3 linked regions of the Schizosaccharomyces pombe genome follow. The protein of the gene in region 1 interacts with the protein of each later gene in a biochemical or structural test. Each region holds a gene or a part of one and is shown in the gene's direction. Other genes may lie near its edges.

The links. Proteins that work in one complex are often made in the same cells at the same time.
Region 2: the proteins of alp7 (region 1) and alp14 form a complex in vitro, tested with the Schizosaccharomyces pombe proteins (2 studies listed by BioGRID).
Region 3: of the proteins of alp7 (region 1) and cdc2, one has a biochemical effect on the other in vitro, tested with the Schizosaccharomyces pombe proteins (one study listed by BioGRID).

The regions. Positions count from the first base shown.
Region 1 is NC_003424.3:5,001,834-5,006,366, reverse strand, and holds alp7 (kinetochore-associated protein Alp7), read left to right. Parts: upstream 1-1,881; 5' UTR 1,882-2,171; coding exon 2,172-3,596; 3' UTR 3,597-3,967; downstream 3,968-4,533. Other genes in the region: serine/threonine protein kinase Ppk16, read right to left, coding at 1-1,246, 1,415-1,464, 1,532-1,625, 1,673-1,696; tbc13 (GTPase-activating protein), read left to right, coding at 4,391-4,533. UniProt on the Schizosaccharomyces pombe protein: Required for bipolar spindle formation and proper chromosome segregation. Has an indirect role in connecting the kinetochores and the plus end of pole to chromosome microtubules by targeting alp14 to the spindle pole body.
Region 2 is NC_003421.2:1,009,544-1,014,814, forward strand, and holds alp14 (microtubule polymerase alp14), read left to right. Parts: upstream 1-1,899; 5' UTR 1,900-2,218; coding exon 2,219-4,648; 3' UTR 4,649-4,771; downstream 4,772-5,271. Other genes in the region: elongator complex subunit Elp2, read left to right, coding at 1-955, 998-1,333; SPOM_SPCC895.08C (uncharacterized protein), read right to left, coding at 5,105-5,271. UniProt on the Schizosaccharomyces pombe protein: Required for bipolar spindle formation and proper chromosome segregation. Has a role in connecting the kinetochores and the plus end of pole to chromosome microtubules. Also required for the activation of the spindle checkpoint pathway.
Region 3 is NC_003423.3:1,498,235-1,502,595, forward strand, and holds cdc2 (cyclin-dependent protein kinase Cdk1/Cdc2), read left to right. Parts: upstream 1-1,973; 5' UTR 1,974-2,009; exon of another isoform or gene 2,010-2,051; 5' UTR 2,052-2,105; coding exon 2,106-2,142; exon of another isoform or gene 2,143-2,210; coding exon 2,211-2,379; exon of another isoform or gene 2,380-2,451; coding exon 2,452-2,752; intron 2,753-2,853; coding exon 2,854-3,159; intron 3,160-3,213; coding exon 3,214-3,294; 3' UTR 3,295-3,861; downstream 3,862-4,361. Other genes in the region: protein wwm1, read left to right, coding at 567-1,181.

The DNA.
Region 1 (4,533 bases):
TTGAGTGTCTTCTTCCAAAACTGTTAATCGAAGGAAACACGGTAAGGTTCTCAACTGAATTGTCTAAAGACTCAGATAAATTATCGGAATCAAAATTTTCTTGAGTTAAATAGTTTTCAGCCGAAGGACTAGGTGTTCTTGGTCTAATTGCTGATGAGCTTAACGTATCAGCAGTATGCTTTTGTTTAGGATCGAATAACCAACTACGAAATGTAGAAAGCAAAGAATTACTTGAATCTGACGATGTATGCCGACTTTTTAAAGAATCCTGATTGTTGGACATAACAGAAACTTGAGCGGTTTTTAATGATGGAGTTGCTGGAGCTATGTGTACAGCCGAAGATGAACCTTTATGTAAATGAAACAAACCTTTCTTTTTTTTGTTTTCCTTACGCATTTCTTTTTCTAGTAATAAAAGCCACCATCCATAGAACATGTCACAGCGCTGTTGTGAGATGCTGGCATTAAGTTGATCCATGTCAACACCAACAAATTCAAGCCTTTTACGAACTTTTTCCTCTGCTTTCGAGGAAGGCCTTGGGTCTCGAATAGAAGATGAATGATATCCATTTTCCTTGAAATAGGGGTGAGAGATGATTTGATCGATAGAGGGTCGAAGTCGGTAATCCTTGCAAAGGAGGGATTTCAACAAGCTTGAAGAGTTTTTGGAGAGTGTTTCAGGATATTGAGGACATTCATTGATAATTTTTTGCTCAGTTAAAGATACATCGTCCTCGTCGAACGGGAGCCTTCCTATTAAGAGAGCGTACATAATTATACCCAGAGACCATATATCAACGCATTCACCAATATATTTATGGCCCTGTACTAGCTCCGGAGCACAATAAGCAACTGTACCACAACGTGTGTTCATAAATGTTCTACGGGAACAATCAGAATCTCTAGAAAACCCAAAGTCTCCAAGCTTAACATTGTAGGCTTTATCTAGAAAAATATTTTCGAGTTTAAGGTCACGGTGAACACAGCCTTGTCTATGTAAATACTGAATAGCACAGCATAGCTGCCACATGATACGGCAAGTGGTCTTTTCATCCAGCCTTTTTTCTCTCGCTACCCAGTCATACAATTCACCATTTGGACAATACTCCATGGCAAGATAAATTCGGTCTTCGGTGCATACTACTTCATAAAGCCTCGTGATGTTTGGATGAAGAAGACGCCGATGATGATGAATTTCTCGAGCAAGGATAATCGCTTGTTTCCTGCAAGATGATTTCAGGACAACCTTTAATAAAAATGTTAGCAAGGTACAATCAATTTATTGATGAATAAAACGTTTATCATTCTCATAATGTAATCAACCGACTTTGGAACGGTCAATATTCGCAATTTACGAGCCGTTTATTCTTCTTTTTATAACTTAGAGACATAGTAATCTTTGAATAACCCATACCTTTGTATTTGTCAGTAAATGAGCTGCCAAATAAACTTTTCCAAAGCTGCCTACAACCCATGCTTGTTAGATAGCCGTCCAGTATTGAGCGTTCACAATAACACAAAAGTATCGTACCTTCACCGACAACACTCTCAATGCGATATGTACCGACATCAGAGATACGAGGATTGCAAATTGTTGCAATTAGGTCATTGTATGAGGCCGATATCTGCCATTCATTAGATAATCACGATTTCCCTCTTTTCATATACATACGTTTGCCTTTTCATTTTTCTTCATACTAAAATTTGGCACACATAATATCAAAGGTTGACTTGCAAATTGTTTAGTGTTTACAGTAGGATACTTTGGTGTTATTACAAAGGCTTCGGAGAACAAGCTACCGAAAATTCACCGAGAGCTCGGTGAACTCTTCCCACTCTCTCCTTACTCAGTGTAAACCAGTATGTATGTGCCTTTTATTTACACCACCATTGTACGCCTAGTGTTGAATCAAGACGAAGAATTGAGGGCAATAAGGGGTTATTTATTGGGCATTGTATGACTCAAGTTTGTTATTGAACCATTGTTCTACGTAGGCGGACATCTGACCAGTTTTCAAAAAGTAAAAATAAAAGTTAGCTACTGATCGTTAACTTTGAAACGATAATACCAGCTGTAAAATATTTGAAAAAGGATTTTCTTGTGTATTTATATTTCATATATCTGTTAGTTCTTTATATCGTTTGACGATTTTAAAAAGTCATAACCGAAAATGAGTGATATCGTTTCGAGCTCTACAGATTACAGTAGGAGGTCTCCCTCCTCATCTAGTATTGGGACAAATGAAACTGATCATACGGGTTTTCATGAAAAAAGGCAAGGTGCCTCTTCAGAATCATTGATTCCTCCAGCTCAACGAAGTTCAGAGGAATCCATGCCTGCCCCTAAATTATTCCCTAAGTTAACTTCTAAACCCAATCCACAGCTGAATTTAAAGGATACTCTTAATAAGCGAGTAAGCGATCGACTACAAGCCTTAGAGTTGAATAAATCTTTTGATTTTTCAGGAACCCCTAGACCGATGCATCCCATATCCCATCCTTTGTCACAGCATAAAACGCCAGAATTTAAGCATAGAAAAAGAAATGTAGAATCTATTTTGACGCCGAAGAATCCTTCTTTATTTTCATCGTCCAATGCGGCCTCCCAACGAGGCTCTTTAAATACCGCTCCATCTAATTTTGCATACAGTCATTCATCATCTTTGCAAACATCAGCTAGTTCTAGGCCCCCAGTGCTTTCAAACGGAAGCTTCCCACGTCAAACTAATACGGCGCCGTTGAACCCACCAGTGCATTTGAAAGACAACATTCGCAACTCTGCTACACCATCAACTTCACAGGCCGATATACCTACTCAATACCCAATTAATTCCACTCAAAAGCAGCAAGCGAAATACGAAGCTGAAATAGAGGGCTACAAAGCCAAACTTGCTGGCACTTATCATGAAATTTCCGTACTCCAAAATACAATCGTCAATGTTTCGGGACAATTGATTGCCGTTAATGACCAACTTCAGCAACTTAGATCTGGAAAAGCATCGACTAGTCCCTCCACAAAGGATACCAACATGAGACTTGTTGAAGGGCATAATGAAGAGACATTAGCTCTTCAGAGAGGTAAATATACTCAAGAGGAAGTTGACAAGTTAATTCAAGAACGCATGGAAAAAGTTGCTGAAGATTTACATGCTCAGTACTCAGCCAAGCACACTCAGAAAATTAATGCTTTCAAAGCCAATTATGCTCGAAAATACGAGGCAACTATACAGGAGCTTCAAAATCAAATCGGTACTGCTCCTAATGCTCCAAAAATATCCAACAGTAACTGGGAGGAAGAAAGGCGAGCATTGAAAGCAGACAATCAGACTCTCCAAAAACAGCTGGAGAAAGCCATTCAAGAGCGCCAAGATATGTCAGATTTTTTGAACAATTTTAAAGCTGATATGGCGAAGAGTGATAAGTTACTAATGCAACAACAATCACAACAGACAGGTGATTTGGAAACACTTCGTTTACAACTGCAAGCGCTTCAAGAAGAGCTCCGGGTCGAAAGGGAGGAACGACAACAGTTGATACAAATGAGCGAGGACTTGGTAATTGCAATGGATCAACTGAATTTGGAGCAAAAATCATGATCTGCGCTTTCATTTTTGATAAAAACAATCTCCATAATTTTTTTTTTTTTTTTGATAGAGTATTGCTAATGTATTGATGCCGTTTCCTTTATCCAAACCACTTCTGTATTCTCATGATTAATTTAGTTTCATATTGATGACCCCAGTTTCATGAATACAACCCGAATTCTTTTGATTTCCATTAATTAAGCCTTCTTTTATGGTTATACATTATCTACCAATTTTCGTATATTTATACATCATAACAGTTCGATATACAACCTAATATAAATTGCATATCCACTCTTTCTTCTTTTATTTGTATTATAGATAGAATCAAAACTGGAGCCAATCTCAAGGCTAATTTCTCACATACATACATTAGAAAACGGTGCATTTATTTAATAAATATCCAATTATTATTAATTGCTCGTTCTAGGTGCTGTTTAAACCAAATATTTCTTTCCTGGTCTGTATGTTGCACCTACATCAATCTTACCTATACTGTACATCTACTAAGGACGTTCATTACTCTGTACTTTCCTACAGTATTTGATTAGGGAAGTATTGTTAAGAAGGAAATTAGTATAAAAAATAAGTCAGAAAATTTAGTCGGTTCTTAAACTTGCATTCAATTTTAGTAGCTAACTTAGTTCCATCATCCACGTGTGAAACAGGCTACTGAACACACCAATTGCGCTCTCCTTTTCTTCATATATTTAATTTTCAACAGTAATATTTTATATATGATAATATAACTAAATTGGATATAGTCAAACTACATAATATCTTATTTGAATCGCTTCTAGTTTATTATGGACTATAAGCAACGCATTGAAAAATTTAAAGACATTTTAAATTCGGAAGAGCCAATTTCTCTCCCTGGTTTATGCTCGCTTTGTATTCAAGGAATTCCTGATGAATATTCACTTAGGGCAAAAGCTTGGATGTTGATGCT
Region 2 (5,271 bases), on another chromosome or scaffold:
AGGTTTGTGGAACCCAAATGGTAATTGTGTAGTATGCTGGGGAAGAACTGGTGGATGGAGACTCTGGAAGCAAGATGCTGGGCAATGGCTCCAACTTCCATCTATTTCTGGTCACACAAAGTCAGTGAAAGGCGTTGCTTGGGATCCTGAAGGTAAATTCTATTTATCCGCCGGCACAGATCAAACTACTAGATTGTTTGCACGTTTTAAAAAGGATAATGCTTGGCATGAAATGGCTCGACCTCAGATCCATGGCTATGACTTAACCTCTATATCCTGTATGCCTTCTCGAATTGGATTTTTGAGCTGTGCCGATGAAAAGGTGTCTCGTGTTTTTAAATTCCCTAAAACAATTGTTAGACTTCTTTACCGTTTATGCGATACCAATATTGGGGAGGAAAGCTTACCTGATGCTGCAAATGTTCCTTTACTAGGTCTTTCTAATAAAGCTACCACTGCATCTGAAACTGGTACGGTAAATGCAGAAGAAGTTCAGACTCCTGTTGCTGATGTGATTGGTTCTTTGAACCATCCTCCTTTTGAAGAACACTTACAGCGTTTGCTATTGTTTCCGGAAGTTGAAAAATTATTCGGCCATGGTTATGAGGTTTATGCATGCGCCATATCTAATAATGGTAATATTGCCGCGACTTCTTGTAAATCACAAACCCCCGAACATGCTGTCATTCGGTTATACGAAACGCAGTCATGGAATCAGCAGCAAGTCCTTAAAGGTCATTCTTTGACGGTTACAACTATAAAGTTTTCACCTGATGACCGATACATTTTAAGTGCTGGGCGGGATCGGTTGGTGTGTTTGCATGAGCAAGCCGAAAATTTATTGGATTATAATAACTTTGCTTCTATAAAAGCGCATTCTCGTATTATTTGGGATGCTAGTTGGGCTCCCAAAGAAATGGGTTACTTTTTTGCGACTGCTTCGCGTGATAAATTCGTGAGTAATTTTTTATTTGATCAAATCTTGCTAACTATTTAGGTTAAATTTTGGAAAATCAATGACAATAAAAAAATATGTGATGTTGCTGCTCTCCAATTTTCTGATGCTGTTACCGCTGTTGACTTTGCTCCGTTCTTTCACAACGATGAACTCTTGCTTGCGGTAGGAACTGAAGCTGGTAAAATATTTATTTGGAGATGCCCGAGAGAGAATCTTACCAAATGGTACCCAACACGTTTACCAGACCACATGGCTCCTATGGAGTCAATTAACCAAATTTTATGGAAGCCCACTTTTGAAACTATGGGGTTGTATTCTCTTTTAATTGCTGGCGAAGATACCAGTGTACGACTTTTGAACGTTACGTTGGGATAAACTTGAAAATAAGTACAATTGGTAATGTTAGATTGGGTTGGCCTGTTTTAAACATACCTGAGGGGTGGTTAAAAATGCTTAGATAAATTATTTATTGTTATAATTGTCGATAAATAAAAGGAAGGTTAATGGGTTGTTAGGTTGGCATAATTAGTGCTGAATGGTAGACATTCATCAGATTGATTCATTACTTTAGTTGTTATATATATATATAAATATGTATTTTTAATTATTAGTATCAAAAACTTTGGTGTAGTAGTCTTCTCAATTAACTCAAACACAATTTTACATGTTAGAGAAAAAAACAACACATAAAAATTTTTTTTAAAAATAAATTATATTTAAAAGGTAGATAAGGCAAGATTTTAACTAAGAAGTATTTTCAAGCGTAATAGAATGCAAGTTGTAAATCTAACTAAGAACATTGATTACTTCTACGAAATTTAGTTTATTTTTTTTCCCTTTCTATTACTCGTTTACATTTATTGAAAGAACGGAGCAAGCTAGGAAGTAATTTATATTCAACTGAATGACTGCATTTTCGGTAGTGTCCAAAAGTAACACTTACCAACTCCAAACATCTATTTTGCAAACCTAAGTCTTAATAAAGATACTTTTTATTAAAGGCTATATTTTCTCAGGTTTGAATTTGTTGACTCAACGAGTTAATACTTATATACTCCGGCCTTGCTAAATCGATATTCTGTAAAGTTTGACAGTGTTGTATTTGCCTACAGGCTTAACGAGTAATTACTTATTATTTATTCAAAAAAGGGAGAAAAGGTACTAAGTACAACTTTTGAGTTTTAGAATTGGAGTTTTGGGAGAGCATTTGCTGTTTATTTATCTTATACGCTCCTTTAATTTTTGGCACCCCGGAGGAACATGAGCCAAGATCAAGAAGAAGACTACTCCAAACTTCCTCTAGAATCAAGAATAGTACATAAAGTATGGAAAGTGCGTCTATCTGCTTATGAAGAGTGCAGCAAATCGTTTTCACTTTCAGCAGATGGTTCGGATAATTGCTTTGAGCTTTGGAATAATCAGAGTGAATTGTGGAAATCAGTGCTGACTGATAGCAACGTAGCAGCTCAAGAAGCTGGTACCGCAGCGTTTGTAGCTTATTGCAGGTTTTCCGATCCTTCTCATTTACTTAAAGCTCGTGAAATATCAGTCCTTTCAATTTCAGAGAAATGCTTAACATCACCTCGCGCAGGTACAAGGGAAAATGCACTAGAAGCTCTTATGCTATTAGTTGAAGCAGATTCAGCTGCGCCAGTTATAGAATCAATCATTCCTTCTTTATCGGCTCGATCCCCGAAGGTAATAGCTTCTAATGTCGCTGCCATTGCTAGTCTAGTTGAGCAGTTTGGTGCTAAAGTTATTCCTTCAAAAATGATTATTCCACATATCTCCAACTTGTTTGGTCATGCTGATAAAAATGTTCGTAAGGAAGCATCTCGTTTAACTGTAAACATTTATCGGTGGACAGGGGATCCTTTAAAAGATTTACTATTTAAAGATCTAAGACCAGTTCAGACGAAAGAGCTTGAGTCTCTTTTTGCTGAGCTACCAACAGAGCCTCCCAAACAAACTCGTTTTTTGAAAAGTCAGCAACCTACATCAGAGCCGAATGTTGAAACACAGGTAGAAGAGCAACCTGCTCTCGAGAATGAAGAAAGTGAACCAGAACCGTCAGATGATCAATTTGATTTGGTAGAAGAAGTGGACGTTTTACCCAATGTGGATCCTAACCTGGAAACTTTAATGGCTTCTTCGAAATGGAAGGATCGTAAGGAAGCGTTAGACAAACTACTTCCTGTCTTATCTCAACCAAAGATCAAAGACAACGATTTTTTTAATTTAGTTGCTATTCTCACAAAGTCTGTTTCAAAAGACGCAAATATCATGGTGGTTATAAATGCTGCACACTGTATACAAGCGATGGCTAAAGGTTTACGCTCAAATTTTTCGAAGTATGCCTCAACATCTATTAATGCACTGTTGGAACGATCCAAAGAGAAAAAGGCTAATGTAATCGAATCACTATCTTCTGCGATGGATGCTGTTTTGGCTACATCCAGTTTGGATGACTTAGCCGAGCTCATTGCTAGCTTTGCCGGGAACAAAAATCCTCAAATCAAAAGCTCCTGCTTTAGTTTGTTCTCGAGATCTTTCAGTAATATGACATCCTTACCATCTAAGTTTACAGTTGATACCTGTGCTAAAGCATGCGTTCCTGGTGTTTCTGATACCTTTGAGCCGGTGCGTAGTGCGGCAGCAGAAGCCTTGGGTGTTTTGATGAAACTCGTTGGTGAAAGAGCCATTAATCAGTATTTAAGTCCGTTGGACGACATCAGGAAATCTAAAATTCGTTCTTTTTATGAAACAGCTACAGTAAAGGCTAAGGCACCTACAAAAAAGTCGAAAGTTAAACCTTCAAAACAAGAAGAATCAAAAGTCGTCGTACCTTCAAATGCTAAGGCTGTCAAGAAATCCGTTGTTCCTTCTAGTCCAGTTGTACCATCTCCACGAAAGGCAACTAACAAATCGCTTTCCATGGATGTATCAAAGGGTAATGCATTTGAGAATGGTCCTTTGTTACCAAGACCGACTACGAGGCCAGTTTCTCGAGGGCTTTCACGAGGCACATCTTCCAGTTTGCAACAAAAAGTAAAAGCTTCCACTCCTTTGAATTCGGGAGCACTTAACGAAACGGTGCAAAATTTGAAGAACATGGAGTTGGACGATCCGGCTCCTCAACCGGCTAAGCATTCACGAGTTGATCGTTATGAACACCCTAAAGTATTAGAAGACAATGACTCTACCATTTCGTCTTTAGAATCTCTGAAGAGAGAAAACGAGGAGTTACGAGAGCAGTTGAAAGTTGAACATGAAGAGAATATTTCTATGCAAAAACAACTCAGTGAATTGAAAGGTGAATTAAATACCTTACGCAGTGCCAGGAAAGCCTCACCAATAGGAGACAGAAAACCTGCATTTATGCGAAGAGCTAATACTGACTTTTTAGAGCTCTCTACGAGTCCCTCATTTCAACGTTCAGTGAGGGAATTTGAACCTACTAGACCTAAACTTTATAGCTCTATAGATGTGAATCAGAGATCCCCTTTAGCATCTGCGAAAACAAATGGTAATTTCACGTTTCATGCTGAATTACCAAGATCACCGTTTTCGTCAAGGGCCAATAATATCAATCCTGATTGGACTAAAGCCATTGATTTAGCTGCCAAACTAAAACAAAAAATTACTGAGATGAAACAAACAGACCAAAGACATCAGGGATTGATTCACTAGTTTTTAAATTCTTTCGTTTACATTCCAATGTCCCTTACTTCCCTTTCTATTTTTTAATGTTTTAGAATAATGATAATATCGGTTTACAAAAATAATAACAAAATACGTATTCTCGTTTATACCAAATTTCTTAAAATCAGATTTAACTATAGGTTAAAGATGGAGTCAAATGGTAACTCAAACACACAACACAAACAAACATATAAAATAAATAAAAGAATTTTAACGTACGAATTTATCGCATTAAACGTATTAGTGTCATTAAAAAAAGTAGTCTGTTTAATTTTGCATCACAAGTATACTGTATAGCCGTACCAAGTATAAACGAAAACCTCTTTTTAAAAAAATTAAACATAATAAAGAAATTGTTAGAAGAAAAAAAATAAAGATATGCGTAAAGTACAGACAGTCGAAAAAAGAGTAACAATCACATGAGTCTTTGCCCAATGAAAAGTTCTAAGCTTTGTTCAAAAAGTCCGGAGGACTGATGTTGCTAAAGTAGTCCAAAGAAGCGGTGGAAGGAGTATCGGCATCACCATCATCGTCCTCCAGGTAGAAATAAGAATCACGATAAGGGGAATAAGGCGGTAAATGGGACAATTCCGACTCTAATTTCCTATGAA
Region 3 (4,361 bases), on another chromosome or scaffold:
GTGATGAACTTATCCGCTTCTTCACTTCTTTGAGACTTTCAATTACCTGTATAATATCTGTAGATTTGTAGAAACAGCTAAGTATCGCTATATGAATATTGATTACTTACATTGCTCAAGTAGTTTCGTTATAATGTAATGTAATAGATAACAAATTTAAAAAAAAACTGCCTATAAGAATCACTGTATAGCTGAATATTAGTTTAAGAAATTAAGCATACTAGTGGCACCTTTCACCACGAATAGCTCCATGACTGCTGCTAGCATCAAACTTCTCCAACCTTCTTATCGATCTTAACCACTATAATTATCTCACCATCATACGCGGAATTTCATTTATTTGATCAATTGCTTTTTCATTTGCAAAAGGCCAACTATCTAGAAGTATTCTTTCTCTTTCCATTTGTTGTTACCATTACTTCTTGCGTACAGAGCAGATAGAAGTATTAGAATTCATTTATTTTTTGTTAACTGTCTTTTTTACCAAAAAAATTATTTTTTAAGATATTCCCTTCATTCCAAACTTTTCTCTCAATTTATACTCAACATATTTCTTAAATTCCATTATGGCTTATCAAACTCGTGAAGGTCTCCCTAATGGCTGGGTCGCTCAGTGGGATGAACGCTACAAGTGTTACTTTTATGTTAATGAAAGTGATCCCAAAGCAAAGCCGCAATGGGAATGTCCGGTCCGTGGTTTAACTATTCCACCACCTCCTTCGGTGGACCACTCTGCTCCCCCAAGTGGACCGCCTCCTTCTTATTCCAACTCAGCCGCTCCTGCCACTCCTGCCGCTTCTGCTTCTTCTGCTGCTCCTGCTCCTGCTCCCGCAGCTTCCCAAAACAGAGCATACGGGGCCGCTCCACAGCCTTATCCCCCTCAGGGCGGTTATCCTCAACAACCATATTATTATCCCAATCAACCAAATTATTACCCAGCCCAGCCTGCCTACGCACAACCCGTATATGCCCAGCCTGCTACTTCTGCAAGAAGAGGTCGTAGCGGAGTCTTGTCTAATCCCATGGTGACTGGTTTGGGCGGACTTCTTGTCGGTGGTTTGGCTATGCATGAAATGGACGAAGCTTTTGATCGTCCTGAAGAAGTTGTTTATGTAGATGATAATAACTACAACAATTTTGATGATTATGGAGGTAATGACTTTGGCAATGATTTCTTTTAAGGGAATTTCATGCATCGATTATGTTATTGAGTTCAACTGCATTATTGACAAGTGTTTCTCGCAAGAAAAATTACATTAGATGAACGATTAATACATATTTTACTGCAGAAATATAAGATCATTCATTTTACACCTGTGTGTACACGGGGATAGTTCATTAGTGTGGTTAACTCGAAAGTCTTCGTCGTAAATGAATATTGACTTATTCAATGCTGTTCCCTAGTAATAGTTATTATTTATATTAACTTTTTTTTACCTTTTCTCCTTCGCAATGCTTTTTATCTATCTGGATTTTTTTTATGACTCTGTAACTTCTGACATACACACGGATTCTGCTTGTTTTTATAAGTGTGATATTTATTTATTTATTTTTCTTTTAAATAAAAAAAAATGTTTTGTTTTCTTTGCGAGCAGGTGGAGAAGTCTTTGACAGTTTTTACAATTTCACATTTATCTTAAAGGGTTAGTCTATAAATATTAGACAACTCAGGATAATCCAACCTACCGTAAATTTATTTATTTAATAATAGCACTTTTTTGACTGATATTCACATTTACAATTTTTTAATTCACGGTTATACAATGTCTTCAGATGATGTTTTGATTATGTAGTTCTTCATATCTGATCACCTAGTATAAATTGCAAGTAATGAGTTATGTCCTACTTTTCTAATTTCATTTTTGATAACAGTATAATTCATAAGTTAGAAACATGAAGCGCTAGCCCTAAGTTCGGTTTGATAATAGTCCTCTGCGTTTCCACTAGTCTATCGCTAGTTGAGCAAGCTTACCCACAGCACAACACAACATAAGCAAATTTGTATAAACGTATTTTGAGATCATTCTCGCATCTCTATTAACAGATATTAGAAAAATTATTTTCCAAAAAACATACCGCTAGGTTGCTTCTTTTAGTGGTTTGCAATGGAGAATTATCAAAAAGTCGAAAAAATTGGGGAAGGTAGGTGTAACTGAGGAAGCTATGACTTATCCAATTTCTTTTCTGTCACGTATACTGACTAATGCTAGGAACCTATGGCGTTGTTTATAAAGCAAGACATAAATTGTCAGGGCGTATTGTGGCCATGAAAAAAATTCGCCTTGAAGATGAATCTGAGGGAGTTCCTAGCACAGCTATTCGTGAAATTTCGCTTCTTAAAGAAGTGAATGATGAGAATAATCGATCAAATTGTGTTCGGTAAGTTTTTACTTGACGGATGCATGGGAAATGTTTACATTGATAAAACTTTGTTTCTAACCCTTTTTTAAGACTTTTGGATATTTTACATGCTGAATCAAAGTTGTATCTTGTTTTTGAGTTTTTAGACATGGATTTGAAAAAATACATGGACCGAATTTCAGAAACTGGGGCCACTAGTTTAGATCCGAGACTTGTTCAAAAGTTTACCTACCAGCTAGTGAACGGTGTAAATTTTTGCCATTCTAGAAGAATCATTCATCGCGATTTAAAACCACAAAATTTGTTGATAGACAAAGAAGGCAATTTGAAGCTAGCAGATTTTGGACTTGCGAGGTCATTTGGTGTCCCTTTGCGGAACTATACGCATGAGGTATATTTTTTTTCTTACTTGGCTGTATGACTTTATTCCCAAAAAATTTGGAATATTGACTGACGGTCTTTCAGCATTAATTTGTGTCGCTAACCGTTTAGATTGTCACTTTATGGTATCGTGCTCCTGAAGTATTGTTGGGATCAAGACATTATTCCACTGGGGTTGATATTTGGAGCGTTGGATGTATTTTTGCTGAAATGATTCGACGAAGTCCATTATTTCCCGGTGACTCTGAGATCGACGAAATTTTTAAAATTTTTCAAGTTTTAGGTACCCCAAACGAAGAAGTATGGCCTGGAGTCACGCTTTTGCAAGATTACAAATCCACATTTCCTCGTTGGAAACGCATGGATTTGCATAAAGTTGTTCCCAATGGTGAAGAGGACGCTATTGAATTACTCTCTGTAAGATTTTGCATTACCATCTATTTAAGACTAATTACTAACCATTTTGTCAAGGCTATGCTTGTTTATGACCCTGCCCATCGCATTAGTGCAAAACGAGCTTTGCAACAAAATTATCTTCGTGATTTTCATTAATTTTCGTCTCTTATTATTAAACCTTTAAAAACGCTATCCTTGACTTTATCTGTACTTTGCTGTGTTTCTTGATATCAGTTATTAACAAATTACCTCAATTTATAAACCGAAAATATTTATTTTCCTCCTTCTTTTTCGAATCTTGGCGTTTGTTCAAAACATACTCAAACAATGGGCAATTTACAGGGCATATAAAAAACACTGACATATTGAGCTTGCCATTAAATGTGAATTTAGTAACGTTTTTAGTTCTGTTCCCTTTACTGTGTCTTTATTGTAAATATCACTTTAAATGCTTTCTTTGACTGTCAAGGGAATTATCGCCGTTCTTTTTACAAAAGCAGGCTCTGAGTGTTTAAATCTATTTTTCTTTCATTCCTGATAAAACTGAAGCCTTTTAATCTCCCTTTTTCTTACTTACTCTTATCCTTTGTTTTCCAGTTTTTTAATCCTCATTTATACTATATTCTATTTACATATTTTTTATACTTAAGTATTAAAAAAGGTGTATATTCTTTAGACTTTAGTTTTTAGTGTTCGTGTTTGCTCTGAACATATAAACTGCACTTACTTAGATGTATTTAGTATCAAAGAGGTGAATTAATTTTACGAGCAAACGGTAAAAGAACGTAAATGTGCTTATTGTTCAACAGACATACGTGTTTATTAAATTTTACAAGATGAAAGTGATATGAATATTTGTATTTCACACTATATTGAACGCTAAGCGAGCATCATTTACAGCTTAAGTCTATACCTAGAGCGTTTGGAAAAATTCAAAATTAATAAATCGTATAAACAAGAAGTAAAACTAAACAGCGCAGGAGAAACCACTAGATGCATGGATACATACTAACGATTGAACCTGGCAAAGTGTAATTGGACAGAATGAAACGAGACATATTGGAAATATAACGTCTAAAGATGAAACGCAGGACAAATTTGTTTGGAGGCTTGAGAGGAATGAAAAGGGAGCAAATACATGGAGGGAAGAGCATTTCCATTAAACTGCGCATGCACATTTTACTTTCCATGCTTTAATCATAGAAAAAGGTAACCAATTAAAT